Diceros bicornis minor: one gene and its partners. The protein of the gene in region 2 interacts with the protein of the main gene of each other region in a pairwise test. Links are inferred from orthologs where the notes say so. Each region holds a gene or a part of one and is shown on either strand. Other genes may lie near its edges. The genes, in order: SOS1, SH3BP5 and TNKS.

Region 1 (7,552 bases), on a different chromosome or scaffold from region 2:
GAAAGACAAATAACGCATGATTTCACTCATATGTGGAAGATAAAGCAACGACAACAACAACAAACACACACATAGACCCACAGAATAAATTGGTGGTTACCAGAGGGGAAGGAGAGAGAGGGAGGCTGAAAGGGATAAAAGGGCACATGTGTATGGTGACAGATGGCCATTAGACTTTGTGTGGTGAACACAGTGAAGTCTACACAGAAGTCAAAATATAATGATGTACACCTGAAATTTATATAATGTTATAAACCAGTGTTACCTCAAAAATTAAATTAAAAAATATTTTAAAAAAGAGGGAGAGGGAGGGAGGGAACCAAAGTATTAACTAAAGGTGCTAAAGGGTGCGTATCCAGTGGTTTTATCAGCCACTATTTTCTCTGGTGTATTTTCTGGGGACATCCTGTTTCGAGAAGTGGAATTGCAAGTAGGGATTGGGAAGAAAGGGTGAGGAGAAGCATGAAGGGAAGATAAGCTGCTGGAAGAGAGAGGACCTTGACTTTGCTAATGGCTGAAACTGCTGTTTCTTATGCCTGTTTAAGGGGAGGCATCCTGAATGGGGCCTGAGAAAGTCTTCAGAGAGAAGGTGACATTTGAGCTGGGGGCGACAGCGTGGATGCGAGTTCCACGGTGAGCGTGTACATGGGCGGTGAGGTGCAGCTGTGGCGGGTGGGATTGGACAAAAACGGTTATTGGCATTCCCGGCAGACGGAACAGCATATGTAGGCAACAAAGACGAATAGAAATGATGGGTTTATGGGAGGCAATAGTAGTTCATTTCCAGTGAGAGAGATATCTGGGAAGATAAGTAGTGGCCCTATTGTGTAAGGCCATGAATACCAAGCAAAGGACTTTGGACTTCATCTTGGGATGGCAGTGGAGGCTCTTGAACAGGAGAGTAACCGGATCTGAAGTTTGCTTCAGGGAGATGATTGTGGCGGCAGCGAAGGAGGCAACCCTGTGACTGCTGGGGGCGGCGGCGTGGGGAAAAGAGCGGAGTGCTGCGCTCCCACCTGCAGGGGGCGCGCCAACGGACCGAACGCCCTCCCCGCCCCCTTCCCTGCTGCCCGGGTTCTGACGCTACGCGCTCGGAACTCGGCTAGCCCGCCTGGACGTGCTCATCTCGGGCCTCGGCTAGTCCGCCTGGACGCGCCCCCCGTGCGTCACGTCCGCTCTGGCTCCAGGCTCCTTAGAGCTGAGTAGGGGCGCGAACAGAACCTCTGCGCCTGCGCCGCGGGGCAATAGTCGGCGGTTAACGCTGAGGGGCCCAGGGAGCTTTCCTGGCTTCCGTAGAACGTATCTGAGTCCGCCACAGTTGTCTTCTCTCGCTGCACGCTTGTAGGTGTTTTCATTTGTCCCAAGAGATATAGGCAAACGATGCAGAGGAGCTCGACTGCTCCCTGACCTTAGCGGCGCCGAGGTCAGCACCACTCCCCTTTGGTTGCTCAGCTCAGAAGCGCCGAGTCTCTTCTCTGCAATTTCCCTCCAGCTGCTTGCTCTCAGTCTGCGGCCAAAAAGTCCATACTAGTGAGAACCTGCCCCGGCTGCTAAGCGCGCCCAGCCCAGCGTGTAATCCATGTTTCTAGGGCTTGTTTACCTCTGCAGTCACATCAGAGACTCGAAGTTGAAGGGGACCTTGGAGGTCATCACGTCCAACCTCTTAACCCTTCCCGACATCCCGAGTGAGTGAATGTACGGTTTTTACTTGCACACCTCCGAAGATCGCCCGTTTCCCGAGACAACTCCGATTAGGTAGTCTTCCTGGAAGTTTCCTCCATCCAACTTTTATGTGTCCACTTTAGTTCATCATCATATCCCTAGGACCTACACTACTTGGCACACAGTAGGCGCTTGATAAATATTTTTGAAGGAATAAGATTGTTGATCTCTTGGAGTTTTCCATTCTACTGGGGGGCAACCAACAACTAAAAATAGTTAGAGGCCGTGATTTATGCGAGCAAGGAAATAAGCGGAGGCTTATGGTAGAAATACATAGGTGGGAACTACTTGGTGTGATCAGTGTGGCCTGTTGGAGGTGGTGACGTTTGTAACCAGCCAAGTGAACAGTTAGGAGCAGAGAGAGTTCCGGGCTGGGGGAAGATCAAAGCCCTCGAGGCAGGAAAGATGTTGGTGTTTTCTAGGAATAGACAGAAGGCCAGTGTGACTGCAGTGTGGTGAGCCAGGATTGAGAATGGTGAGAAAAGGTTGAGAATGTAAACAGGAGCCAGATGCAGGCTTGTGGGCCATGGTGAGTAGTTTGAAAGGTATTCTAAGAAGAATGGGAAGCCCAAGAAGGATTTGGGGCGGAAGCTTGATCTTAGTTCATTGGTTTAGAACCACACAAACCATATCATATATGGTTTTTCTATGTTACAGTCTTTTAGATATTTAGAGATGTCTGACATGTTTTCGTGAGACCCATTTTTCTGTCCCCAACTCCTCTCAAAGCTGTAGTTCCTCTACCTCTTCTTACCCAGAGGTAAGAAAAAAAATGGATAATTTTCAAAATGTCATTCTGAACACTTTGAAAGCATGGAGAATTTTTAAATGTAAATCATGTGTGTACATTTTTAAAGAAAAGGACCTAAGACTTATGAGATTCTCCAAGAGGTCTTGTAGAGATTACCACTGCTTAAACATTTCTCCTCTATGTGATCCTGTTTTTTTTGTTTTTTTTTTTGAGGAAGATCAGCCCTGAGCTAACATCTGTGCTAATCCTCCTCTTTTTGCTGAGGAAGACCTGCTCTGAGCTAACATCTATTGCCAATCCTGCTCCTTCCCTCCCTCCCCAAAGCCCCAGTAGATAGTTGTATGTCATAGTTGCACATCCTTCTAGTTGCTGTGTGTGGGACACGGCCTCAGCATGGCGGGAGAAGTGGTGCCTGGGTGCACGCGGGGGATCCGACTCTGGCGCTGCCGGTGGCGCACTTAACCGCTAAGCCAGGGGGCCCGCCGGGTATGTGATCCTGGTTATCATTCTCTGGAATAGCAGGGTACTATGTCAACTTCAATCCAGGCTCATCCTCTAAACTGTCTTCTCATCTGTGAAATGAAAACAATAGGATTGCTATGAGGATTAAATGAGATTATGTTCAAAAAGTGCTTAATGGTAAACCATGAGGAGCCGGCCACACATGACCACTCTTATAAACACCTGCATCCCTGGGATGGAGGAAGAGTTTAGATAATGCTCCTTTGGCATTCCACAAACATTCACTAAGTGCCTATTCTGTGTAGAACCCCTAGTGAAAAATATCTGCCTTCCAGCAGTTTATCTAGTTGAAAGAGCCAGGAGAGGTACAAAACATAATAAACCAAATGCTCTGAGAGGGGCATGAGTAAAGTGATCTGGGAACTGCAAGAGATCTCAATTTCCACTGGAAGTAGGTGGTTATTGGAGTTCATATTTGAAGTGGGTTTGAAAGATGAACATATTGAATCTAAAAAACACACAAAATCAATACTACACGTACACATTTTATTCTTGGTGATGTGGAAAGACAGATTGGAAACATTGCAATCACTTCCATTATCCGACAAATACTGAGCAGTAGGTTTCGTGAGAAAGGCACCTATCTTTTGTCCAGTCTGTTTACTATACATTGCATGCTCTGGGCAGTCCTTATCTTCATGTTCAGGAACAAAGTACACAAATACACACCCCTTTCCGAAACGAAAGGTCTAGGCACTCCAAGAGAGGGGTGGGATCTCTCGCGGCCCAACCACACAATGGGGGCCGCTTCCCCGTAGCTCTCACCCCGCCCCCCCCACGCCCCCCCATCTCGCAGGCCCCACTCAGGCAGGGTTCGACTTATCCGGGCCCTTTCGCTCCTCCCCTGCAGCCCCGGGGGGCGCAGCCACGGCCCGGCGGGGCGTCCTCCCTCACTCGCGCTTCCCTCCTCCTTCGCCGGGGAGCCGGAAAACCCGGAGCGAACCGGCCCTGCCCGGCGGCGCATGCTCAGTAGCGAGCAGGTTCAGTTCGCTAGTAGGAAGCTCGAGCGCTACACCGGCGTCGGCGGCGGCACCTTGGGGCAGGCAGATTCCCCAGCACCGACCTCGGGCCCGTCCTCTCCCCCGCCAGACCCCGGCCCCAGCTCCGCCCCGCCGCGCCCGGGGTCGCTCGCTCATCGGGGTTCCCGCGGCGCGGAGCGTGCGCCGCGGCCGGAGCGTCTCTCCACAAGCTCTTCCCCAGCCGCGGGCTCCGCCGCGGGGCCAGGCCGGGCCCGAGCGCGCAACCCCGGCAGCCGGGCGGGCGGCGGCCGCGGCGGAGGGCAGCCCGGGGCGGCGCCGGAGGGCCGGGGAGGGTTGGGGGGGCCCGGCCCCGGGGCGGTGGTGCGGGATGCCGCCGCCGCCGCCTCCGGGCTGCGTTCGCTCTCCGCGGCTGGTGCCCGTGTCGGGTGGCTGGCCGGGCGCGGGCCTCGCCCCGCAGCCCCCTCTCCAGGGCTAGCCCGGCCGCGCGGCGCCCCGAGGGGGCCGGGCCGTCCAGTGGGGCCGCGGCCCTGTTCCGCGCTGCGAGCTCGCCCTCTCGCGGCTCCCCGGCCCGGCCGCCGCCGCCCCTCTCCCCGCCCAGAGGCGCCCCGGGGGCACCATGCAGGCGCAGCAGCTGCCGTACGAGTTTTTCAGCGAGGAGAACGCGCCCAAGTGGCGGGGGCTGCTGGTGCCGGCGCTGAAAAAGGTGAGGAGCGCGCGGGAGCCCGCTTCCCCGCTGCAGCCCCTGCGAGGGCGCCGGGCCGGGCCGGGGCAGGGCTGGGGAGGCGGGGCGCGCGCGGGGCCGTCTTTCTTCTCGGTCTCGCCGCCTCCGCGAAAGGACGGCGCCCACTGAGCGGTTCCCCCGCACGCGCTGCCTCCCGGGGTTGACGTTCACCCGGTGTGGGGGAAGGCCGCAGGAGGCCGGGGAGAGTTTGTCCGGATAATCAACCCCTGAGAGTCCTGCTCCTGCTTCAGAGACGAGAGTTGGAGGAGCCTCAGTTTTCAGTGGAGGTCAAAGCAGGCCACTTTTCCGCCTTCTCGGTCTTACCCGGAGCTGCTGTCAGCCTCCGTTTTAGGTGTCCAGTCTGCTCGTTTTAGTGGGCTCGAGAATGCTCTGGCCATAATGCTTGCTCTAAGTAATTGCAGAGCTCGCCTGCCAGCAGGAACATGGCCTGCTCTGCTCGCCCTCGGTAATCACTCTTCATTCCTCTGAATTCCCTCGCTCCTCCGATTAACCGGGGTGGGTGCACATGCCGCTATTTTCTTTCTTTTCTTTTTGTGAGAGTCTGAGAATCTTGGTGCTGTCATTCGTTTTGTTGATTAGAATTTTCAACCTGGCTGTGTTCCTTCAAGTTTGCCACATTGTTACCTCAAGTTAAATACCTTGTGATCTGTATTTTTAAATGTTTTAGTATAATTAGGAAATGTTGCTACATTTTAAAAGCTTCTAAAGCAACATTGTGAGTTAATTCAGAAACTTGTGTGTTTGAATGAACATAAAAACAACCAGAGTATTTTTTGTTTCCCTTTTACCTTTTCTATAAATATAGGATTGCTTTACTCTTTTAATAGTGTTTCTACATCCCAATTTTTTGTTCCTCAAACAATGTTTCATGTTATCTGGTTAAAATATATTCTGCTGAGAGTTGAGATTATGGTGTACCTTTTGTTCTAAACATTTATACTTTTGAAAACTGTGTCTTAAATGGTGTCTGATATTTCTCAAAGGCCAGCAACTTTTACTTTCCATTTTGTCCTGTCCTCCCTGTCTCCCTCTTGGTATTTTACAGAGGAAAATATTTGGTTTGTTAGCAGAAACTGGTCATATATTTCAGATATAAGTTACTGACTTTTTTCCTCAGGTGTCTGACTAGTCACAAACGTCTCTGTGATATTGTTTTCTAGGAAAATCAAAGAGATGCCATATACTGTATATACTTTATTCATTAGTAATCCCGTCAGGCTTTCACGCTATTTAGTTTTGCTTTACCTGCAAACTTGACATCTTAGCTTGTAATAGAAGGGTAGTAGGAGGTCTCAGTGATGCTGGAAGCAGGTATCCTGACCTAGGTGGGGCCGCGGTGGGGAGGAGACAGAAAAATTGTTGAAAACATACAAAAGAACTCATAAAACACTACCAGTTTGGGGCTATTTTGTTTAGAAGCAAGCATATCCTATCCCAGAGTAAACACCAACGTACCCATCAGTTGAGGGTCCTATGAAGTAGTGGAAAGAGCGTTGTAGGAGTTGGCAGACCAGATGTAACTCTGCCACACGTAGACTGATAAATGCAGCAAGACTCAAGATGGCCCTTGCTGAAATCTATCCACAGAAGCATTTTGTTTGGCTGGCATGGTGTTGTTTTATTTTTAATGTAATTAGTTGCCGATATTTAAAAATGGGAGATATTACATAAAATCTGAATTTTCAGCTTTTCTTGAAGAATAGGAGGATCTCTCCACATTGGGCCTGCATTCAAGCAAGGCAGTAAACTGCTGGAGCTGAGGAAATGACTGTCCTCTTTAGACATGGCACATCTCTTCAATTTACACAGTCCCCACCAGTCCTCTGCTTATTTACATAACCCAGCTTTGACTTTAAGCAGAGATACCCTTGTATAACAGTAAAAGTGATGAGAGGAGGTGGAATCTAGCTGATATGTAAGGTTCTCCAAATTCTTATTTAAAATATCCACTAATGATAATTCTAAGCCACCTAAGACAAGGTTGAAAATATATTTCATATCTGGATGTGCTCTTGGTAGCTCAAAACCTGCATTTTTACCTGCCTGCTAGACATTTCATGTGGATATCTACTATCTTGAACTCTTCTTTTGGGCTTGCTGCAGTATTTGCAGATGTGCCCAACTTGTGTTATCTTACCTGAGGCTCTTTGGACATGCTCTTCTCTTCACCTGGATTGCCCTTAGCCTGGTCTAACACTTCTCACCCTTCTAGACTCGCTCGTCCTCAGATCTTTCCTCAAATCCTTGGGGCCGAGTTGGATAATCTTTTTAAATTTTCTTTTAGCACCCTAACCTAGTACTTAACAATGATTTTTAAGTTCCTATTTACTTGTCCTCCCCCCTCCCCAACTAGATTGAATGGTCCTTGAGAACAGGGATGATATTTTACCCTCCGTTGATACAGTGCCTGACACCTAGTAGGCACTTAAGTTTGAACGAATGGGTGAGGGAATACCCAACTAAAACCATCACCTCCCTGCCCTCCATCTTCTGTTTAAAAATTTCCCCTCTTGATTAATGGCTTTATTTTATTTGACTGGTTCAAAACTTTGGAGTCGTCTTGGACTTCTCTCTTTTGCATTACGGCCCACATCCAGGCACAGCCTGTAGATTTATTCCACTTTGACATGTTCTTCTAATCTATTCCCTCCTACTCCAACTGCTCTGAGTCCCCTTTCCCAGACTGCTGTGATAACCTCTTAACTGAGTTCACTGCCCCTCACCTCTCCTTTATCAATTTTTCAAATTTCAGAAGTTATAGTACACTTCTGAACACGTCACACTCTTGTTCAGAACCGTTGATGTCTTTTGAGGGCATAGGATGAAGTTCACAAT
Region 2 (7,596 bases):
ATTACATGATCGCTCAGAATAAAATCTACACTCCTTACCATGTAAAGGCCCTCCATGGTCTACCCACCTGCAGCTCTCTGACGTCATCTCCCTCGCTCTCCCCCTTGCTGTCTCTGCTCTACCCATGCTGATCTCTGCTTACCCACCCACACCGTGAGCCCATTCCCTTCCCAGGACCTCTGCGCAGGCTGCTCCAGTTGCTGGAGTGATCCTCCCCTACAGGTACGTGTGGTTTGAGCTCTCATTTCTTTCAGGTCTTGGCTCAAAGTGCCCTTCTCGGGGAGGCCTTTGCCATAACCACACCTCGTCTCTCTCTCCGTTCCCTGCTTCGTTTTTGCCCTTAGCACTGATCACCCTGACGTATTATACATTGATTCGTTCATTCCCTCTCTCCTTCTACTAGAATGTAAGCTCCCTGATGGCAGGGAGTTTGTGTCTTTTGTTCGTAGTGGTACCCCTGACTTCTCGTATAGTGTCCAAATCATGTTAACTGCTCAATAAATATTTGTTGGATGAATGAATGGCATCTCATTTTCTACAGTCTGTAGTCCAAAGTTTTTAGCCTGGCATTCAAGGCCCTTGAGGACCTGCCCCAAACTATACTTTAGGCTTCATGCCCTGCTCCTTCCACTCCCCACCGTCCCTTCCTGGGTCCCAAGTCCGGATGATGTCCCGCCTTGCTGTTCCTGACCAGTCCATGATTGGTTCCATGAACCATGGTTCATCGGTTTTGTGGTCCATGAGGGGTTCCACGAACCCCTCCATGATTTCCTCCTGTTTTTTCCCCTATCTGGGAAGCTCTTTCTTTCTTTGGCAAAAACCTTCCTCCCTTGTTTGAGGAAGTTGTGTTTGTTATTCAAGGCCCAGTGTCAGCTTCTCTTTAACCCATCCTGGCCCTGCAGGCAGAACAGTGGGATGACTTCCGTGTTCCTGCCGAGTGTAACATGGCCCTTTTCAGTTGCCAGGAGGGAAAATGCTGCTCCCTTCACCTGGTTGATGGCCAGCACTCTCCCTCCTTCTGCCCTAAACTCAGTCAAGCGCTGTGACATCAGCACGTCGCCTCACTTCCTCTCATTCCTCCACTCTGGGGGGTTCATCAGGGTGGGGCAAAAAGACAAGTTTCTCTATTCACAAAAAGAGCTGAGGAGCTCAAAATGGATTAAAGACTTGAATGTAAGACCTGACACCATAAAACTCCTAGAAGAAAACATAGGCAGTAGACTCTTTGACATCGGTCTTAGCGGTGGCTTTTTGAATACCATGTCTACTCAGGCATGGGAAATAAAAGAAAAAATAAACAAATGGGACTACATCAGACTAAAAAGCTTCTGCACAGCAAAGGAAACCATGAACAAAACGAAAAGACAACCTACCAACTGGGAGAAAATATTTGCAAATCATATATCTGAAGAGAGGTTAATTTCCAAAATATATAAAGAACTCATACAACTCAACACCAAAAAATGGGCAGAGGATATGAGGACATTTTTCCAAAGAAGATACACAGATGGCCAACAGGCACATGAAAAGATGTTCTACATCACTAATTATTAGGGAAATGCAAATCAAAACTACAATGAGATATCACCTCACACCCCTCAGAATGACTGTAATTAACAAGAAATAACAAGTGTTGGAGAGGATGTGGAGAGAAGGGAACTCTCATACACTGCTGGTGGGAGTGCAAGCTGGTGCAGCCAGTTAGAGACCTGCAGGGGTCGCCACCCCAGACCTTTAGAGCTGCTGCTCCAGATCAACATGCCAGCTAAAATAAATATTAAGCATGTATCTGGCTTACAAGCCACTTAACACGGCTTGCCTTCTTAGTATGTGCAGTAGGCAGAATTCTAAGATTGGCCCATTTCCCACCATCCGGTGTATATACTCCTGTATAATTGTAGGAACTTGTGAATAGTTGAGATAGTCATGTCCACGATTAGGTTATGTATGTGGCACAGCTGACTTTAAGAATGGGAGACTTTTCTGGGTGGACCTGACCTAATCAAGTGAACACTTAAAAGGGACTGAGCTCTTCTTGAAGAAGAGACTGAAGTGTAACAGGGATTCAACACAAGTGAGATCTCTGTTGCTGCCTTTGAAAATGGAGGGGGCCACGTGACAAGGAATGCAGGCAGCCTCCAGCAGCTGAGACTGGCCCTTGGCTGACAGTCAGCAAGGAAACGGGCACCTCAGTCCTACAACCACAAGGAACTGAATTCAGCTGATAACCTGAATGAGCTTGGAAGGACTTTTTCCTCAGAGCCTCCAGAAATGAATGCTGTCTGGCCGACACCCTGATTCAGCCTGGGGGACCCTGAGCCCAGAACCTAGTCATGCCGTGCCTGAACCTCAGACCTAGAGAACTATGAGATAATGTGTTGTTTTAAGCTGCTAAATTTGTGGTAATTTGTTACACAGCAATAAAAAACTCATACAGTATGTATTATTTTAAATTTATTCTTAAATTATACAAATAATTATAAATATATCCTCCTTGTAAAAAATGAAAACATTATTGAGAGATTAGAAGTTTCCTCTGACCATCCTAGCCAATCCTGGGCCCCTCCCTACCCCCCTTTCCCAGGGGTAGTACTCTTTGTTGGGTCTGAAGTCCTTCTTCCAGACCTTTTTCTAGGCATTTATGTGCATATATATGTACCAATAGAAAATATATCGTATTGCTGTGGTTTGTTTATTTTCCTTATTTTAACTTCAGATCACTATTGGGATCAACACTATAGCTGGCCAGGTCTCCTAAAAATAAGACAACTAAAATCTGAACTCAAGTTCTAGAGCAGTTTCCCTGTGTCCCATGAAGGCGTTTTGAACCACTCTATTGCGCTTAGATCTAAGTTTAAATAGAAATGTGTTTTAGAGGCAGTTGTTTAGAATGGTGAGGCTGGGGTTCCACCAGCTGAGAAGCATTGAGAGTCAGGGCTGACCTCACATTTCTGGTTTTCCAGCTCAGTCTCAGTGGATTCACAGCTAGGATGAACCTGCTCAGTTATAGGCTCAATTCCCAGCCACCAGGGAAACAATGGTGACTCTTGTGTCCCAAAGTGACCCTAGTGACCATCTTGTCCTGGCCTTCATCCATCAGTAGAAAATCAAAAGCAACAGTCTTTAGCAAGGAACTTCAGAACATCTCTCCAAGAATTGCTGACTCTTCCTTAAAGAACAATGAAGAGGTTTGAACTTTCCAAAACAAACGTATAGCATACACCTATATTATGTCCAGGAGACAGGATGAATCTCTTTTGATGGTGGACCACAGTGCCAGCATATATAGGGTGGTACCTTACCCAAGGAGTAACCCTCTAAATTAGCTTCTGATAAAACCATCAGAAGCAGGTTTTCAAGGTGGCTTAACGATGGGATCTCAGAAAGAAGCTCCTTTCTCAAGCAAGTTTGTCCTCCAAACTCACAGAGCCAATCGGCCGTAAGCCTCTGTGTAGATGTGTACGCTTTCTGCATTTTTGTAGTGAAGGAGACATTAGCAGTGGCCAGTGGCAATGTCCTTGCCTGCTTTGCTAAGGTCATCTGACCTTGTGCTCCCCTGACATCACAGTGGCCATGACATTTCATAACAGCACAGACATGCCCCTTCGTTCTTTGCACTTTAGTGATGTCGAGTTTGCCAGGCAAGCTCTGCCTCCCTACTTACTCAGGGTGGGCAGGAAACCTCACCAGTTCATAAATCCTTGGACAGGGTGTACCCATTAACAGAGGTAACACTTAGCCCCTCCTTGAAAAGACTGTACCCACCCACCCACCCACATCCCTGATCAATGGATTTTCCATGCTTCCTGGCTATTCAGGTAGGACCATGCCACAACACTAACGCACAGCTGTTTGGGTGTGGAGCTCTGCCCAGCGCGGGTCACAAACTTTGGACAAAGAATCCGCGCCTGGAGCTGCAGCTGGCTCCCCTTTCTGTACTTTATGTCAATGTGAGCACGTTACAGTTGCCTTTTCTGGGGAAATCTTCAAGTACATAGATAGAATTCCCAAGATTCAACCAAGGGGAGAAACGTGCTTTGGGTGTATACAGGGGTTTGAGGAGTCTTGAAACTGGCCCAGGGTCACTGAGTACAGGCTTCTAAAGGTGATTTCAGAGACTGGAAATACCCCAAACTTTCCTTCCATACAGTCAATTCGCCTGGGCCGAGGAGGGAGGGAGAAAGCTGCCGGGAGAGTAGGTGGCCAATGTTGGGTGGTTTGTGATATTCGGGCTGCTAAGAAGGGGTGAGGGCTCTCCTATTTCCCCACGCTAGAGGATTTCAGAGGGCTGGGGTTTTTGTGACGGAGGCCTGGGTAACTGGGACCTGCCGAGGAACAGTCGGAGGCGCGCGGAGGGCGGCCCGGCGGGACGAGGGCGGAGCGGGCGCCGCTGCGCTGACAGCCGCGGCAGAAAGGGGGCGGCCGCGCCCATTTCCTCCGCTCCGCCCGCGCCGGACGGATCCGCATCGGCGAGCGGCGCCTCCCGGGTGTCGGCCCCGGCGGCTCCCGACCGTGCCGGGCTGTGGCGAGACAGCTCCGGCCGAGCCTGCGGCGAGTCGCTGCCCCTCCGGACGCTCCGAAGTCCCCCGCGCGGTTCGCATTCCGGCTGCCCGCATGGACGCGGCGCTGAAGCGGGGCCGCTCGGAGGAGCCGGCTGAGCTCCTGCCGTCTGCCCGGGACTTGGAGGAGGAGGAGGAAGAGGGGATGGAGCAGGGGCTGGAAGAGGAAGAAGTGGACCCCCGGATCCAGGTAGGGCGCGCGGGGGGCGCCCCGGATCCCGGCATCTACACTTATACCTGTCCCGCAGCCCCCAGTGCCTGCGTTCCGGGGAGGTGGTGGCCACGTAGGTCTGGGGGCGAGAAGAGAGCGTCTAAATACTCCGTTTCACCTGGTTCATGGGGAGGCTGCAGTGCCCGCGTGGATGCGGCCTGACTCTATTGTGGGGCTCCCCCTCGCAGACCCCTGGCAGGATCCGGGGGTCGCCGCAGCGTGCCCAGCGTTTCGGGCGGATGTGCAACAAAGGGAAAAAGGGGGCGGGGGCGCCATGTGGGTATCGGGGTACCCCCGGCTAGGCTCGCGGCGCCGCAGGCATTGCACGGCTGCCTGGCCCCGGGAGGAGGGGTGGGCCGGCCAGGGTGGGCGCCCGACTCCGTGGGCGGGTGGGCGAGCTGGGCAGGGTGGGCGTTGTCCGCCCCTGCAGCGTGGGCTGGCACCGGTGCCCTGGGTTTGGAGTCCCCACCTGGCGGAGGTGCCCGGCCCGAACCATATTCCTCCTCCTCTGATTCATTGTTAGCAAACTGAAGGGTTTATTGTCACCACTGGCTCAACCCTCCGCTTGGCCTCAGATGCTTTAAAGCCCAGCTTTTCCTTGTTAGGAGGCCGGGTGTGAACAGAAATCAGGGGCAACTGATGCGCAGAGCTGATGCGGGGAGAAGGCGAGGGGATTGGCCTGGCTTTCTGTGCCTCCATTTCTAAGGTAGATGATTAAAAAACAATTTCCAAGCCGAGATCTAGGAGTGACAGTTTAACCTCTTCACCCTCGAAGCAGAAAGCACAGCAAATCCCCTTTCCAAGACTCATTTTTCTACCCTTTCCATAAATCTTTTTTTTTTTTTTTAAATATTGCTTTTAAGCATGCTCTGCAATTTCTGGAGCCCTAATTGGTTTTTCAGTGCACAGGTCAATTAAAAGCTCATTTAATTCAGCTGTTGCTGTTTAAATGCATTGTTTTGGCAGATTAGCAAGATAAAGATCAGGTGGAAAAATCTTTGCATTAGGAATTCTATTTAAAATAATCAGTTTGGACTACTAAATCTTGTTTTCTTGGTACAGGAATTCTGTTAACAAGACCCTTTGTTTGTAGAATAAAATGAGTTAACTTCATGCGGGTACTTTTTACAAAGGTCAGTTTGTACATGTTTATTTAAAAGATCAGGATTAAAGCTAATTTTTTTATTAAAAAAAAAAACCAGCTAGGTAGGTTGAATAATAGGCAGTTTGAAAAGATTTTCATCTGTACAGAAAAATACTCAACTGCTGATGAATCAATGCCAGAATTCTGTCCTTGACTAAATCATTTCATTAGGTTTATACTTTTGGGTTGGCCTTGTTTATTTTCTATCATTGTCTTTTCTGCAAATTCTTGCTCTATGGCAGAAGGTACTGTTTTGATTTGGCCCCTACACCATTTGTAACAGGTGGGTTTACCTGAAGGCACATACCTGGAATAAATATTTGCCCGTTTAAGAGAAGACAAGTTCCTAGGACCTTAAGACATTTTCAAAAGGGACACCATCAAGAAAAAGGCTCCAGATATGCTGCCATTCCTTTGCTCTTCTAGCCAAGGCTTAACTATTTTCCTTGAGAATTATCTGAGTCCTCCCTCTTCCTACAAATTGTCCTGGAGTAATTCTCCAGGTAATGGGCTGAGTCATACCGGAAACAAAAGATGAAGCCCTTAAATCTTTTTTTCTGTCTTTTCTTCCTTAGGGAGAACTGGAGAAGTTAAATCAATCCACGGATGACATCAACCGACGGGAGACTGAACTTGAGGTACAGAAAGCTGGGTCCCTGTTGTTGGTGAGGTGGTGCAGTCCCGCTGACACCAGGCTGGTTAATTTTGTTTTAATAGCTGGCGTCCCCTCCTCGGAGTTGAGCAACAGCCTGCTGTCTGACAGAATAAAATACACCACTGAGCCCAGCTTGTGGGTGGAACACATGTGGATCCAATTTCACATGTTGTTTTTCATCATGGAAGCTCTGTGGGGCCAAAACCAAGAGCTTTACACTCACGGAAGCCCTAAAGTTAACGCGTCTGTGGAAAAGCTGGATGGACTGGGGGGAAAATTAGCTGAACTCTTTAGTGGAGAAGAATGAATGAGCTCATAAAAATCTCTTAAATATTTTAGGGCAGTTCCTTTTTTTTTTTTTTTTTTTTTTTTTTACCTTTCCTGCACTAATAATTCACCCCTTTCCACTTCCCTGCTCATTTCTTTAGTGTCTGCTTGTGTGTGGAATATAATTATCTTAATGGTAAGGAAAAGCTGTTTAGACTGCGAAGAGCTTTCCTGCTGGGAAAAATCTTGGGAGACTAGAAGTTGATTTGAATTTCATGAGCATCTTTCAACCTGAGTGTAAACAGATTAGCATTCTTCACAGCCACCAATTAGTCCCCATCCCTTTTCAGTGGTGGTTGGTTTTACCCCATCAGCAAATATGAACAAACCCTGCATATATCTGAGAGCCTGTGAATAACTCTGTCAGAGAGCTGAAGGAATGCAGGGAGCTGTTGGGAGGACCTGTTTCTGTAGCAGAAGAAATGGTAGGGAAGGTGAACAGGAAGGGCAGGAAACATCTGGTCCCTGGAGTGTGGGAGATAGGAATATAATCTATCATCAATACAATGGCAGCCTTGATTTCTGACTGCATGGCTAGGCCCTGGAGGTACCAAATCTGGAAGTGGCGATGGGGATTAAAAGCTTGCTGCTCCGGGCTGTGTATGAAGGGTTATGCTAACCCATCTATTCTGACTGTAGGTATCCATGAACACTGGCTGCCCTTCTTCCCAACTGAAGTGAAATCTGTGTGTTTATTGAA
Region 3 (7,272 bases), on a different chromosome or scaffold from region 2:
CTGCACCAAGAGTAGGAGTTGCCTCATGGTCAGTATGTGGTAGTCCGCAACCCCTCAGACAGTCGCAGGGGTCAACGTTCATCGCGGCTCGGCGGGCTGGCCCTATGTTCTGATGGGGGAGGCTGAGCACCCTGGGCCTGCCTCACAATCTATTGGTTTGCAGTTACATCAGCCCTAATCTGATTGGCTACACCCACAGTTACATAAGCCATTACATCATTACAGATGCACTGTTGGCTAGTTACACCCTTCCTTGTCAATACATTCCAGAACTTTCGGAACTTTTCTAACTTGTTTATGACTTTGGGGGAGTAGCAGGTGTTTATCTCTTGTGAGTGAGGAAGCTATATGCTCATCCTTAATGGAGTATATATGTATGATTTCAATTAATTTTGGAAAAAATACTTAAGAAAAGGAATGTTTTTGGTGGGAAAGCTTGTTTACCATTTTTTTAAGTTCAGCAAATAGGTTTTTATTTATCCCTGTTACAATGTAGGATGGGGCATCCTTGAATCACACACAGCAAGTTAGTGACAAAGCTAGGATTCATATCCAAGCAGTCTAAATGCAGAACCCACATTCCTTATATTGCCTCTCTTCCTGGAGCTAACATTTCATGTTGAACTGACTACTCCCAAGCGTACAGACCTTACCAGAAAAATATCCAAGTTATCAGAGGGCAGACTATGGATATCTCGGGAACAGCATCCAGAGGACTCTGCTACGTAAGAGATATTTTAAAGCAACTGAAAATTTCAATGGGGGAATGCTAATAAACTAATATATAGGAGAGTTTTAAATTACTGTAATTTTCCTGCCTTGTAGTAAGTTGTTTTGCTTTTTCTTTTAATAAAACTTTTTCCGATGCAACGCGGTTAGCATGATTGCAGCTGTTGGAATTGTTGCCCAGCTATGGTTTCTAACAGAAGAGTCTCCTGAGTTTCTGGATGGAACTTCAGCTAAAATTTCTCTTAGCTTAGTAATACCTTCATAGCGAAATCGGGCCCTTGGCACCAAGGGCATTTCTGACATAAGAGTAACTTATCCTCTAAGGTCAAGGTGAAGAGACGGCACTGCCTCAGCCAAACTATAGCTCTAGCCTTGTGCTTTTGAATTTGCAGAGGCATTGCACAGAGCATCGAGGAATAAGTGGATTTAGTAGACCCAAGATACTACCAGTGAACTTGGATCTGGGGCAGATCAAAGAGAAGTATACGGATAGAATAACCACACCAAGTCTAATTGAAATATGGAGACCACACAAGTTTGTGATTGCGTAACTTACAAAGTGTGTCCATATGATTGCCACGGGGGAAAAAACAAACACAACACAGTCCAGATGGTGAGCGCTCTTTGAGTTGGTGGCTCTTTCTTTTGTGTCAACAATACGGCTTAAGAGGGTGCTGTGTCCTCACGTTTTTTACCACATGGACATGGGTTTTTTTGAAAACATTTTTGGAAGTGATAAGAGGCTACACAACTATGATCCTCAGCAACAATTCTTGGGGATAGTCAGGGCCAGTATAGAACCTTGAATTTTCAGATGAGGCAACAATTAAACCTGATCTTTCTTTGCTTAAGATTCCTGTTACACGTAAAATGGTGAATATTTATTCCCAGTCACTATCTTTGTCATAAAGGAATTTATGAGGAGATAGCTATCAATAGTGGCTATCAGTTCCCATTAACATTTTATGTATGCCACATAAGAGAATGAAACTAACACTCAAGGAGTGCTTACAAAACACCTAGGTCTTTGTTTTTTTTTTAAACAATATACTTTATTTATTTATATTTTTGTGAGGAAGATCGTCCCTGAGCTAACAACCATGCCAATCCTCCTCTTTTTGCTGGGGAAGACTGCCCCTGGGCTAACACCTATGCCTATCTTCCTCCACTTTATATGGGACGCTGTCACAGCATGGCCTGACAAGCGGCGCCTCTGTGCGCGCCCAGGATCCGAACTGGGGTGCCAGCAGCAGAGCGCGCGCACTTAACTGCTATGCCACGGGCTGGCCCCACCTAGGTCTTTTAATCCTCACAACAATGCTACAATAAAAGCAGAATTTTAGAATAACAGAGCTGAAGCTTATCCACCAAGATTAGCCAACTAGTAATTATCAGAGATGTATTCAAGCCCATGTTGTTTGACTCCAAGCTTTGCTCTTTTCACAAGGGTATAGTGCATCCTTCATGGAATTGTGTCTAGCTGTGAAAGATTAGGTAATGGTATCTGCCCTTTCATGTTTAGAGTTCAACATTTTTAATCCATGTAAACCTAAACCTCATAAATACTTAATGTTAAGTACTTTTACTACTTTCCACTGGAGGGGAAAAAAGCAATTTCTAATTGATCGAACGCATTTTCAGACATACTGTACCAGTAGAGTAGTTTAAGGCAATTCAGCCTTTTTACCTCTATCCAGCAGAAATTTTCGGTACAAATTTATTTTGTACTGATAAACAAACACAATAGATGCATTTTGAATTAGGGTGAATATTACTACTTCTTCTTGTGATTTATGAGTAACTGGCCATCAGGGGACCGGGTGAGATCATTCCTTATGCCTCCCCATTAAGGGAGAAGGCTGTAGTCAAGACCGCACAAGGTGAGTTATGGACATCTAATGTATCTTGTTGATTTACCCCCACTCCTCAATGCTATCCTGTGCTGTGCATTAATTTAAGATTCAGAACCAGGAGAATGTGTGTTGTAGACAGATTTTAGTTGCACTGATGGAGTTTTCCTATCCAGCCACAGATCTGTTAATTTCTGAATTAACAATGACACAAATTTATAAAACAGGTGGATAATGTTAGAGTTATAATCTGTAACCCCACATTAGGTGACAATAAATGTCACTCATAATATTAACTATGTTCCTGACCTTGTATTTAGAGGGTAGTCCTAAATAAACTGATTTATTTAGAGGGGAATATTAACATCACACTAATTATATTTAATAATGAACATGTGAAACCACAATTTATCACCTGGTTCAATATTCTACAATGCTAACTTTTTACTTGGCCCATCTAAATCTTGTATTTTTCTTAAGACAGAATCTCTGTCTCTGTCCACTCTATTGGAATAGTGCTGTTTGTCTAAACTGCCACATTGCCTAGTTTACTTTATTTAACAGCAGGCAGGAAATGGAGACCTCACTGAGATCATACCATGCACTGATACATCTCTTTTGATGGCAGACAAAAAAAGTAGATATAGGCAGAGGGAAGAGAGAAAAAGTAGTCGTTGAAGAATGGCATCTAAAGGTAAGTGATGAATAGTAGTCAGGTTTTTATTGTAGTTTGGGAGGGGACAGAAGAGGGGTGAGAGGAATGGAGGAGAAGAGAGGTTCAGCTAAAAATAATTCAAAAGAAAGGAACATTCCACTTATTTGAGTCAAGCTTAAGGGGAGAAATAAAAGTACAGAGATAATAGAATAGAATAAAACATAATTTTAATAGTTAATTATTGAACTATTAATTCGATTTTGCAGAGGGGAACTTGATACACAGAGTGGTTAAATAGCTTGTTCCAATTTACACAGCTAGTATATGGCAGAGCTTGAATTCCAATCCTGGCAATCTGAACCACTATTTTAAAATGGAGTATTAACAAAGTACATAGAGTCAAAAAATTTACAGACTGGGGACATAGAGACCAAGGAAATAACCGGGGGCGGGGGGGGGGGGGGAGGGAGACTGCATTTAAAAAAACCAATGGGCTAAATATAGGGTTAGAGCGCTTTGTATACATTAGATTATTTAATTCCGCTAACAATTCTATGAGGTAGGTACTATTCCATTTTTCAGACGAGGACACTTGATAGATGATAAAGGATATCTCTTCCTGCCCTCAGTTACATCTCAGTAGCTGGCTCTGGAGCAAGATAAGGAAGACTGAAGGAGACTTGGCAACAGAACAGAGCAGGGCAAGGTAAGCAAGCTGAAAGCGAGAAATGCAGGAAAATTTCCCATTTAGGCAGAGGCTAGTTCCAGGTTTCAAATTTCCCCAGCCGGCCCGCCAAGGCGTCACAGAGCCCGCCCCTAAGTCACAAAGCCACGCCCCCTTCTCTGGCCGTTCTGTGAGCTCCCAAGGCTTCCCTCCTTCTCTTTGACCCCGCCCACTCCGCCTAGCATCATTTCCTGTGCGCTGGGTGCTGATTGGTCCCGCCGTCGGAAGTGAGGGCGGGCGGTGGGGCCGTTGCCGCAGTGACAGTGCTGGGGGAGTCCGAAGATGGCGGCGTCGCGTCGCTCTCAGCATCATCACCACCATCATCAACAACAGCTCCAGCCCGCCCCAGGGGCTTCGGCGCCGCCGCCGCCACCTCCCCCGCCCCTCAGCCCCGGCCTGGCCCCGGGGACCACCCCAGCCTCCCCCACGGCGGGTGGCCTGGCCCCCTTCGCCTCCCCGCGGCACGGCCTAGCGCTGCCGGAGGGGGATGGCAGTCGGGATCCGCCCGACAGGCCCCGATCCCCGGACCCGGTTGACAGTACCAGCTGTTGCAGTACCACCAGCACAATCTGTGCCGTCGCCGCCGCTCCCGTGGTCCCGGCGGTTTCTGCTTCATCTGCCGTCGGGGTCGCTCCCAACTCAGCCGGCGGTGGTAGTAACAATTCACCGTCGTCCTCTTCTTCCCCGACTTCTTCCTCCTCTTCCTCTCCATCCTCCCCTGGATCCAGCTTGGCAGAGAGCCCTGAGGCGGCCGGAGTTAGCACCACAGCAACCTTGGGGCCTGGGACAGCGGGACCTGGGTCAGGGGTCCCAGCAGTGAGCGGGGCCCTACGGGAACTGTTGGAGGCCTGTCGCAATGGGGACGTGTCCCGGGTAAAGAGGCTGGTGGACGCGGCAAACGTGAATGCTAAGGACATGGCCGGCCGGAAGTCTTCTCCCCTGCACTTCGCTGCAGGTCAGAGACTTTTGAATTGTTTATTAAGGGTTTTGGTGTTGGGGACGGGGGTCGGGGTAGGGAAAGAAAATAAGTTATTATGATGGAACAAAATGGGGGCGTGGTTATGGCTCTTCAACACCTCACCGGAAAATTAGAGGTTCCTTTCTTTAGATAGTGCCTGGGTGATGGGGGCGTGGTGGGGGCATGTGTGAATCCATTCTTTTTAGTGTTTGTACAGCGTTACTTGTTCTCATTCCCAAACTCCTTTAGTGGTAATCTCTGGGTATTGGTATACTTAAACTTTTTCAGTTCCGCGTGTGTAGGAATAAAGTTAGGTTTGAGCAGTCTTAGAGTAGTTTCGTAGTTTGTTTGCTAGTTTATTTCATTTTTGCAAGAAAAATATGTCCCATGAGGACAGTCGAGACCAAAAGAAGTTTAATGTAACTCAGCAAGTGTTTAAGGATCTATCGTATATCGTAGTCTTAGTAAGCCAATAGAAGACATAAATGAAGTTGTGAAACTTTTCCCCTTTCTCAGGGATTTTTCACTCTAATTGGGTAGATCAAAATATGCTTATATGAAACAACTGGAGAAGAATATTTGGATGCATTATGTGATGGCAAAAGAAATACAGGTTTGGAAGTTCTGGGCGCTGCTATTTGTTGTCTAACAGGCAATCTCAGTTGCCTCGGTTTTCTCATGGGCAACAATGATATACTAAGGTTGAGTGATGATTTAGTGAGAAGCGTCTGGCACATAAGTTCTTCAGAAAAAATGCTAATTCCTAAACCCTGGACCACACACTTTTGTCTTTTTCTTTTTTGAATAAGTAGTTGACCAGTTTCTTTTAAAAACATCTAATATATTTTTATAAAAATACAGAGAAATATAAAACAAAAACAGAGGACCATAATCTCACTGCCCAGATATCTACTATTGATATTTTAAAAAATAAAAGTAATAATGTTATATACATTAGAAATGTATGTTATATATACATTATAAAGTTTGTATAGGACAGAAATATACAAAATGAAAAAGCCCCCCAACCCGCACGAATCAAAGATAACACGCCAAAGATACCTTCTGTAAATTTTCTTGCTATGTTTCTAATATATATATCACTTCTTCAATTTGTTCTGTTAATAGTAAAACATATATTAATAATTTATTATCTGTATTATTTATTTTTACCACAACTTGGAAGATATTATTATTCTCATTTTACAGATGCCAAAGTGAAGCACATACATATCTTCAGGTTCACAGAGCAAGTAGTGGAACCTGAATTTGAACTCAGTTTGATTTTAGAGCTTGTGAAATCAAGCTTAAACTGTTCTAATCTATACCTGGGTTAAGGTCACTTTTCATTTTTGTGAGTAATTGTGATGGAGGGTTTCTACTTTCGCAGTGTTTTGGGGGAAGACGTAATTGGGGCCATATACTCCAAGAGGAGCGTTCACACATTTTTTATTGCAGCCCAAACTTGGAAATATATTTTACATTGTCACACACTCACACAAACTTAATCAAAAGTTTTAGGAAACCATGCTTTCCCTTACTACATGTGTTGTATTGCGATATTTTATATCCTAGTCCATTGTGCTTTTTACAAATGCTGTTTGTGATCCATTAATGGGTCATCAGCAATATGAGAAACACTTACAGGAAATCATTATTAGATCACTGGATCTGTACTTGATATCTAGACACTACTATTAGGAAAGTGGTGAATTGAATCATAAACAGGCTTACATCTAAGTAGATATTTGCTCAAGGGTATTGCTTATTTTAGGTGAAATAGCATGTTTTTCTTTAGGCCAAATGAAAAGCCTAAGTCTGATATTACAAATCAACCGAAGTTGTTTACTTTTGCATACTTTATTCCAAATTTGACTGTTTTAACACATTGTTTCACAAATCTCGTCATTCCTCACTATACTGCATTATAAGTGATCACTAACAGATGATAGTTAGTTATATTTAGTTGAGTAATAATGTACTTATTTAGGATTAGTCACACATAAAATCGTGCTTGTCTCCCAAGTCACGCCACAATAGTTTTTATTCTGCTTTAGAGTTTTATGTGTACCCAGATAAGCTAGAAGACACACAGTGAAACAGTCTTGTAATTATGTTGTAGTTATGAGAACCTAACCTTGAACTGGCTTTTTTAGAGAAAAAATTCTTTTTAGTTCAATTGTGGAAAACAGACAACAGTAAAACTCTCCATGGTCTAAAAACATAACACCCTGTAGTCAATTTACTATACTTGCATGTTTGTGTACATAGCATTAAAGCTTTGTTAAATCTAGTCTTCTCCACATGAGTAGGGCTGAGTAATTAAAAGTAATTGTCAGTTGTTGACTGTTAGTTG

The links.
Region 1: the proteins of SH3BP5 (region 2) and SOS1 interact in a two-hybrid assay, tested with the Homo sapiens proteins (2 studies listed by BioGRID and IntAct). The link is inferred for Diceros bicornis minor from reciprocal best matches to the Homo sapiens genes SH3BP5 and SOS1.
Region 3: the proteins of SH3BP5 (region 2) and TNKS interact in a two-hybrid assay, tested with the Homo sapiens proteins (2 studies listed by BioGRID and IntAct). The link is inferred for Diceros bicornis minor from reciprocal best matches to the Homo sapiens genes SH3BP5 and TNKS.

What each region holds. Positions count from the first base shown.
Region 1 is NC_080751.1:45,264,420-45,271,971, forward strand, and holds the start of SOS1 (son of sevenless homolog 1), read left to right. Parts: upstream 1-4,524; 5' UTR 4,525-4,591; coding exon 4,592-4,678; intron 4,679-7,552.
Region 2 is NC_080741.1:21,849,855-21,857,450, reverse strand, and holds the start of SH3BP5 (SH3 domain-binding protein 5), read left to right. Parts: upstream 1-4,492; 5' UTR 4,493-4,614; coding exon 4,615-4,749; intron 4,750-6,489; coding exon 6,490-6,552; intron 6,553-7,596. UniProt on the Homo sapiens protein: Functions as a guanine nucleotide exchange factor (GEF) with specificity for RAB11A and RAB25. Inhibits the auto- and transphosphorylation activity of BTK. Plays a negative regulatory role in BTK-related cytoplasmic signaling in B-cells.
Region 3 is NC_080768.1:26,951,031-26,958,302, forward strand, and holds the start of TNKS (poly [ADP-ribose] polymerase tankyrase-1), read left to right. Parts: upstream 1-4,222; 5' UTR 4,223-4,240; coding exon 4,241-4,913; intron 4,914-7,272.